Linked DNA regions of Drosophila melanogaster. The protein of the gene in region 1 purifies or fractionates together with the protein of each later gene. This does not show direct contact. Each region holds a gene or a part of one and is shown on either strand. Other genes may lie near its edges. The genes, in order: l(2)efl and cher.

Region 1 (3,526 bases):
TATGTGTCCCGTAACCCCCTGGACTCCTATGTCTCCCGATATTATCACGGAGTATCTTTTGGTTTCAATTACGGGAAGTCACTGCACCAGTACTTCGATGAGGTGCTGGCCTCTGATGATTTCCCCACGGAGTTCATTGAACACGCCCACGAGTTCTACCAACTGAGGAACGAGCCTTGGGTATTCTACACCAGCTTTGAAATGATGAAGAAAGATCTGCGAGGAGTGATCAACGATGTCTCCAGATTTCTGAATAAACCCATCAACGATCAGCAAATGGAGAAACTGCTAAAGCATTTGTCCTTCGCGGAAATGAAGAGTATGCAAGAAGCCTATGCCGAAACAATGATCTTATTGAGCTAAACGAATTTTCTTTTCAGAAAATCCCACCACGAATCATCTGTGGGAGTTGGCCCAAGTTCAACACGAAAATGCTGGGAAAGAAATGCACCCGTAAGAGAAAGTCCCATAGTTTTCCGAACAACCATTCACTTGTAATCCTCTAGATTCGTGAGACGTGGGGATGTCAATGGCTACAAGGACGAATTGAAGCCCGAACAAATTGAGAAGGCCAATGTCCGGATACAAGAGGTTCTTGCGAAGAACGGTGTGACTTTGGACGAACTACTGCTCCTGAAAGATCAGTAAGATACATATTGAGAATAATCAAGATAATGTTGTATCTTTTGGTTTAGCTCGGAAGTAAATAACAGCGAGAGAGGAGAGCAAATAAAGCAAGGTCAAGCTGTTTGACCTACCAAACACCTTGTTCTTCAAATGTTTATCTAAAGATTCGTTTTAATTGATATAAAATATGTAGAGTCCAATATATAAGGCACACGTAGACATAAACTAACTAACACTGAAGGCGGTACAAAAGGATTGAGTCCTAGGCGGTGGAGGTCTCCACCTTCTTGGCGTTGTCCTCCTTGGAGGAGGGACCAGTCTGTGTGATCTGCACAAGGCGTTCAGTCTGCGGAGGAGGCAGCGCCTTCATTGGCGCCTTGATGGTCAGCAGGCCATCGGAGGAGAGGGACGATGTGACCGTGTCGGGGTTGACATCACCTAGTGGAAGGATCATACACGTTTAGCATACTTCCTATTTTGTTGATGGAATTCGGACTCACTTGGCAGCTGGTAGCGTCTGGAGAACTGGCGGGAGACATATCCGTGCTCGTCCTGCTTCTCCTCATGCTTTCCCTCCACGATGACGAACTTGTCGGCCACCTTGACGGTGATCTCGGATGGCGAGAACTGCTGCACATCCAGAATGACCTCGAACTTCTCGCTGTCGATGTTGAGGGTGGAACCGGACTCCTGCTTCTGCAGGCTGTTCGTGTGCCAGGGGCGCAGGTATCCCGATCGCAGCACTGTGGGGCGGGAGTTCCACACGGAGGACATGAGGTCATCCCTCTTCAGTCCCTGACCGAAGTGCTGGTCCAAGAGGCGCGAGGTGCGCATTGGAAAGTCGAGCTCATCCCACCAGTCACGGAACATCAGTGGCACTACGGACATCTGCTTTGATCAAGAAACGAGACGATAGTGAGCTAATCACTTCACTTCTTCACTGTTCAATAAATTCCGCGTTGGCTTGGTCCTTCCTCGTACCTTTTTAGATTCAATTCACTTGGATAAACGCGTCTGCTTCGATTCGCGGCTGCTGCGATTTTGATGGAGCTCCTCGAGCACTCACACGATTTTATACCCTCAACAGATTGTTTACATCTTCCCCCACGGGCTAAAAATATGAAAATTTATTTCCCATCTAAATTTAAACGAGCGTCATTCTAGAGAACATTCTGAACCTATATATGCCAAACACATATCTTTGGTGCGAATCTGCGAGCGATTTCAGCCTGTTTTGTTTGTTACCGTGGGAGTCGTGGGATTTGAAGACTCAGACTCAGCCTGTGATTACGATGATGGTGACCCAAAGAAGATTCCATTAGTCACTGCTCAGACAGGCCTTTTTCGGAGTTCAAATGATAGTGTTTCCGATTGTTTGTTCCAGAAGCAACACACATATGTATGTATGCAGAGTATTAAAAAGCAAGCCTACACAAATTCCCGCAGTTTGTATGCAAATTCTATTCTGTATAATATTTTTTCGAAAACCGAAAATCCAAAGTGCAAAATGTGTTCTGGAAAATGCCAGAAGAATTTCTCGACACTTTTACGCCCCCTTTACTCTTTAGATATATAGGAATTTTCATAATTTTCTACCTGTTGAGAGTGTTGATTTGACGCGGCTAATATAAAAATACTTTGGCCACTAAATGACTTTATGAACTATTTTAAGCATCTGCCACTTTTTCTTATTTCTCGCTTTTCCTCTGCTGAGTCATGTCGCGTGCGTTTTCTATCAGACGAAAGAGATGACGTCGCTCAAAACAAAGGAATTTTCAAGCATTGTTTTGAAAATTATACCAGCAATTTGCTTGAATTAGTAGCTCATCAATCATAAAGTTTTACTTCTTAAAATATATCATCGCGAACATATACTATATCAAAAACAAAGTGCCGCCCTCTAGTGTTCATATCTAATTTACCAGTGATGCAAGTACAAGTTCAGCTAGTTACAAACAAGTATCTTCTTTTCATTTGCTGCACCTGTTAAAATGGTACATTTTCATACAATCTCATATATGTTTTCTGTTCCTAACATTTTAGGGACTGGCCCTGTAGTGGATTGTGTACCCAACACAGCCAAACAAACAGTGAGGCAATCACCCTTCGAAATGGGCCAAAAGCACACCAACACCAGTGCAGCAGTGCATGCACTCGATGGCTGTGTGTGCGTGTGAAAGTAGTGAAAGCTGAAAGCCGAGGGCGAACGGGGCCAATACTTATGCTTATGCAAGGCAGCCGAGATGCCGAGATGCCGACGCCACCGCCCCAAAGGGAGGCCAAAAACGGAAAACAGGCGACATTCATCGCAGGACGTGAAGTGTTCACTGTACTTTGGGAGCGGAGGATAAGTCAAGACGTCAACAGAGGAAGCTGTACGATGGTGAGCTCCAAAAATAAACAAAAATCACAGGAGTGCAACTCCTAGCTCCTAAAGGTGTTCACGAGTATGCAGTGGAAAGTAGTTGTAGTAGTGCTTTCGGAGGCACTTTGGGGTTATATGTCGGATTGGGTTTCACTTTCTTCGCTGCATTACAGTTCGCCCCCCACTCGCTGCCCGTGACGTCACGACTGTTGCTTCTGGTGGTGACACTGCTCTTCTGCCCCGTGCAGGCGCATCTCTCGAAGCGAAGCTACTCGGATCAGAGTGTCCACGGCTACATGACCGAGGTGCCCCAAAGGATAACAGGTGGTACATAGTGGCAGCGAGATAACCCTTTCGTTTCCAATGCATTCTAGCGCACCTGCTGGTGGAACGAGGTGTGTAAGGAGGAGTTCCAGAGCCTCTTCCGCTGCAAGTGCCCCCAGTTCTCCTACTGCCGGTAAGTTTCCGTTTCCGGCCGAGTGCCCGGAATGCAATGCGACGGGGGAAACCGAAACCGAATTAGATTTGCTTCCC
Region 2 (5,199 bases), on another chromosome or scaffold:
AGCGGCTGTCAGGACGAAGGTCTCGTTTATTATGGCACCACCACAGGAGTGGGCACCGGAGATTCCCTGCAAGGATATCTGATAGGGAGCGAAGCCATCCTCAGCTGCCTGACCACCGATGATCCGTTGATCCTTGTAAAACCGACCATCCGTTGAGTTTCCCTTGATTCGTATGGCTGTTATGGATACGAGTCCCGAAAGACCCAACAAAATAAGTAAAACCACTGCCGACATCTTGTTACTGGCCCTGGTCAGCTAATGAAGTTTTCAGTCGTACTTGCTGCCTTCTTGACCATTTATCGGAATCAGATAAAAAATCAGTTTATGGCGCGATTGTTGGAACCTTTGGTCAGGCCATTTTGACTTTCGTATAGTTCAATCAAAATCGCGAAGGGTAAAACCAGACTAGCTCAGTCCGCGATTGCATTTCAGCCATGTCGCTTGCACGTTTCCTATTTTATATTCTCGTGTTCAGTTCACTCTACTGTGACTTATTGGCATTGGAGCACTTCATTGTGGGTGGCCAGAATGCAGCTGAAGGAGATGCCCCCTACCAGGTGTCGCTCCAAACTCTTTTGGGTAGTCACCTATGCGGTGGTGCCATCATATCGGACCGATGGATAATTACGGCTGGTCACTGTGTCAAAGGATACCCGACTAGCAGACTTCAAGTGGCCACTGGTACAATTCGCTATGCGGAACCAGGAGCTGTTTATTACCCAGACGCCATCTACCTGCACTGCAACTATGACAGTCCCAAGTACCAGAATGATATTGGCCTGCTCCACCTGAACGAGAGCATTACCTTTAACGCACTAACTCAGGCGGTTGAACTACCCACATCCCCTTTTCCAAGAGGAGCTTCGGAGCTGGTTTTCACCGGATGGGGATCTCAGTCAGCGGCGGGGTCGTTGCCATCGCAGTTGCAGCGTGTCCAGCAGCAACACCTCAACTCCCCGGCTTGCGAGTCCATGATGTCTGCCTACGAGGATCTGGAACTGGGACCTTGCCATATTTGTGCTTATCGTCAGGCAAATATTGGAGCCTGCCACGGAGATTCTGGAGGTCCTCTAGTTCACCAGGGCACCCTGGTGGGCATACTCAACTTCTTTGTACCCTGCGCCCAGGGTGTGCCTGATATATTCATGAATATAATGTACTACCGCGACTGGATGCGACAAACGATGAGTGGCAATGGCAAATGTGCACAGGTCAACCAGCAGACAATAGATGGATAAAAACATTTGAACTCATTAAAGAACCTCAATTCATAATGTAATTCCTTAATGCTGTAAATAATTTATTAATTTATTAAGCCATTTAAACATAAGATAATTCCCAAACTGCCAGCCTTGTATCAAATATCACCAAACATGCACCAAAACCGCATAAAACCCGCACCAAAGCCGCACACAAATCGCCACCAAGCCGCCAAGAAGCCGCTAACAAATCGCGTGCAAGTCGAACTGAAAACGAAGGGCAGGATGTATCCTCTACGGGTCACTCGTAAGGGATCATTCTGTACGGGGCATCCTCTATTTTTTTAATTACTTGGGTTGCTGTAGTTCACTTGTTTTTTGGCGGGAGTGGTGAATTATTTTAATGTTTCTGGAGGCAAGTGATATTCTTGGCCCACAGCCAGGAGTCCGTTCAGTCGGACAGCCGGAATGTCTTAGTGATTCAGCCACCCGCCGTTTTCTGATTTATTTCGGAAGAAGAGAAGTGTCGCACTGGTCACACGTGTCGTCCTGATCTAATTGGTAGCAGGTAGACCCAGACAGACGTGGTCTTAGTCATGATTTGAGTTGTGAGAAAAATTTCGACACAAATCGCTCACGGCGCATGGAAATTCTGAAAATATTTCTATCGGCACTCGCTGTTCAGATGGGGGAAAAACAACCGGGAAAACTCTCAGTTGTGGGCTGTATCTTGGCATTTTGAAAAAGATTTTCAGTTGCTGTATTGACTTGGACGTGTGCGGTGCGGGCCTCGAATTTTCTTGGAATACGCGGCGTATACGCAATCCGTGAGCTATATGTAGACGCGTGTCTTGCTCATATTTTTATATATACAGCAATATATAACAAGTGAAATTTCGCAACTTGTGCAAAGTCGAGGAAAAAATTATGTTAAATCCAGTGAAAATGCCAAAGTATGTGAAATAATTTTCCCAATTAAGGCAAAACGACTTTGCAATGTATTTTACATTCTTACCAAGAGCGATGAATATTGCGCTAAAAGTATACGGCCAAAAAAAAACCGTTCGAATAAATATATTACCAAAAATAAAATAGAATATTTTGTGTTATGTGAATTTCAGTTTGAAATATTGCGTACAAGGCGTTGCCATTTCGTGATATATTCAGACGATGAAAGGCCTCTTTGCTGGATCCCAAAGAAAGAGCCATTAAATGTTCAGTTGTGAGAGCGTAAAGTGCATTTATCTGTCGGGCACCAGATGTTAATAGAGCCTCTGATCTTTATTTAGCCTCAATCGCATGCTCTGCCGCACCTGGGGTATCTGCGGGGTATAGTACCTAAGGGGACCCGGCATATGTATTTCCCAAATGATTTATTTAACTAGGCGTACACGTTTAAGTGATTTTTTAATAGAAGACATAAACCTTTTGTGCACCCTTTAGCAGATTTGTGCAGGGTCCTTGGGTTTTTCCATCACATGGAGACCTGGAAGTTGACGAAGCAACAGGTGCAGATGTTGTAGTATCCTCCCAGTAGGGATACGATGTGGTAGAATCTCCGTACGGAACCCAAGATGATGAGTATGGGTCCCAATAATATCCGGATGACGTAGTTGAGTCAGAGCAATAGCAGCCTGCCAAGACGCAAAACAACGCAAAGATCGTTAAGAACCTCATTTTAGCCGGCATTAATACAAACTAATAAACGATAGATACAATTTTATCAATTATATACTTCTTATCTTATTTATTTTCAATTGTTTAAAGAAATAATACCTTAAAACAGTTGGGCAAATGCCAAATATTCAATAAAAAGCCTAATATTTAACTAATATTTATTTTTCATATTCTATTGCCAAATTAATCACCAGCTGTTGTATCTAAAAATTTTGAAATTTTCAGAAGACTTTGTATGATTCATTTGAAAGCCCACTGTGCCATTGTTTATTATATTCCAATTATTTTCTAAATATCCAAGTAACAGTGCCGAATCGGGAAAAGCTAAATAAAGCGTTGGCACGTGAAATTACTTGACGGCAACGGGGCGTATGCGCAACAAGAGATTTTAACAGCCCAAGCAGCTGTTGAATTAATTCAAACGCCATGAATAATGATGGTCAATAAAAATAAAATTTGTTTAAAAGTACACGCGCTGCGCGTTCACACGGAAATTAAATAGGTTTTGAGAAATGTTAGTACAGAGTTGTTATGAATGGTGTTTCATATCTAAGCATAATTAGATCTTAAAATTCTTACTGGTTTTTTGAAGTTCATAAAAATGGTGACTATAGTTTAGTTTTCTTAATTTTATTTTACGGATTGATTTTGGTAGATCACTTAAGACTTCCTAAAACCCCTTTTAAGCGCCATGATAGCACTGAAATCAGATAATCAGAATAAAATTGTTTGATATATTTAGCGTGCTCTTGCTGCGTTTTATCTTCAAACGAGCATAAACATTCAAGCCAAATAAAATCGAGGAATTTATGACAGCTGATTTGGCCGGAGCTAGTTAGTCATCTCACAAGAATAAACAACATACAACTGTACATATGCTTTTCATTTAAGAGTTCTACGGGTTCTACGATCCCCCGATTTGGGATTCTTTATCAGCGCCTCGTGAGTCAAATGACGGGGAAATGCGGAATGTACTTGGGGCGACCGCCAGAGATGGCCAAAAGCCAATCATTTTTGCAGGAGGCACTTTCAATTGTGACCAGCAGCAGAGAAGATTGAAGCAAAAACATAAAACACAAAAGACGGCAACCAGTTCTATGAAAAGAATAACAACAAAATCAGCTGCGCGTCGAAAATCACATTTGTGATGAGTTGCAGGGGGTGGGGGGGGATTGCGGGGCAAGCGGTGGGTGGGGACTGGGGGGTCTCATGTGGTAGCGTCGCCAAAAACCTGCCAAACAGAGTCAAGAGTGCAGTCGACGTCGACTGCGACTGCGACTGCGACGCCGAGTCAACGTCACACGCAATACCAAAAACACAACACAAAACATGAAGCGAGATAAATATTGAACAAATTATGTATTGAAGACCTTTGACAGACGAGGATGCACTTTTAGAAACTTGTGAGAAATGTATTCATTTATTTAATATGATCTGAAAAAAATAAAAATACAAACCACAATTTTATATTTTATACTATAACTATGATATACATAATAATATTGTATTCTAATTTCATTTCCAACTTGAAATAATAATAGAAAAAATCGAAGGCAAACCTTTGTTATCTGTCAACCAGTAGGAGTGTGTAGAAAGTATCTTTTGGAATTATAACCTATAAGCGTTACCTAATATTTGCTTAGGGAGTTACTTAAGATGATCCCCGTCTGTATGATTTATCTGAGAAAATAATAATAAAGAAATTGAGCAATAAGCGGCGAGCATTTGGCTGCATAAAAACTTTGAGCAAGGAGGCGCACACAACTCAGTCGAGTTGAGAAATTGTCGCGGCCAGTACGAGTACGTGTAGCAAAGAACCCGAAAGCAACGCGCGCATTTCGTGCACACATTTTCAAAACCAAAAGAAAGAAATTCTGAAATTTGTTTACGAAAAAAAACGAAGGATTTGCCAGTCGTGTTTGTGTTGTGTTTTTTTAGAGAGAAACGTGCTCGCCACGCCAGGAATTGTGTAATTAGCGGGCCATCAAGTGTTCAGTATTAAGCACCCCCACTAAAGTATTACAACTCGAGATCATTCGACAGCGATCCCTATCAACCAACAGAAAAACCATCGATATGGCGTCCAGAAAAGTGAGTTTTTTTTTTTGTTGTTTTGTGGGCCTAGGGTGGCCCTTATCCGATCGGCAAACGTTGCATTTCACCCACACGATTTTCCACGATATATTCACGACGAAAATGGAGGACATGTGGTTCTCATTACCTGTTCATAAAAACTAAATATTTGTCAATTTATTTTTAGTCCAATGGGCGGTCGAAATTTGCTCACTTGCGCCTTCGCTGTGCAAATGTTGGGTGTAATTTT

The links.
Region 2: the proteins of l(2)efl (region 1) and cher purify together in Drosophila melanogaster (affinity purification with western blotting; one study listed by BioGRID). This does not show direct contact.

What each region holds. Positions count from the first base shown.
Region 1 is NT_033778.4:23,683,868-23,687,393, forward strand, and holds l(2)efl (lethal (2) essential for life), read right to left. Parts: upstream 1,677-3,526; 5' UTR 1,609-1,676; intron 1,519-1,608; exon of another isoform or gene 1,516-1,518; coding exon 1,128-1,515; intron 1,066-1,127; coding exon 890-1,065; 3' UTR 784-889; downstream 1-783. Other genes in the region: St3 (sulfotransferase 3), read left to right, coding at 1-319, 381-453, 507-644, 2,671-3,010, 3,166-3,297, 3,367-3,449. UniProt on the Drosophila melanogaster protein: Vital role in embryonic development.
Region 2 is NT_033777.3:17,122,166-17,127,364, reverse strand, and holds the start of cher (cheerio), read left to right. Parts: upstream 1-1,975; 5' UTR 1,976-2,126; coding exon 2,127-2,152; intron 2,153-2,578; exon of another isoform or gene 2,579-2,606; coding exon of another isoform or gene 2,607-2,876; exon of another isoform or gene 2,877-2,888; intron 2,889-4,682; exon of another isoform or gene 4,683-4,952; coding exon of another isoform or gene 4,953-4,967; intron 4,968-5,199. Other genes in the region: CG31269 (uncharacterized protein), read right to left, coding at 1-234; CG17477 (uncharacterized protein), read left to right, coding at 435-1,238; CG45079 (uncharacterized protein), read right to left, coding at 2,607-2,876. UniProt on the Drosophila melanogaster protein: Involved in the germline ring canal formation. May tether actin microfilament within the ovarian ring canal to the cell membrane. Contributes to actin microfilaments organization.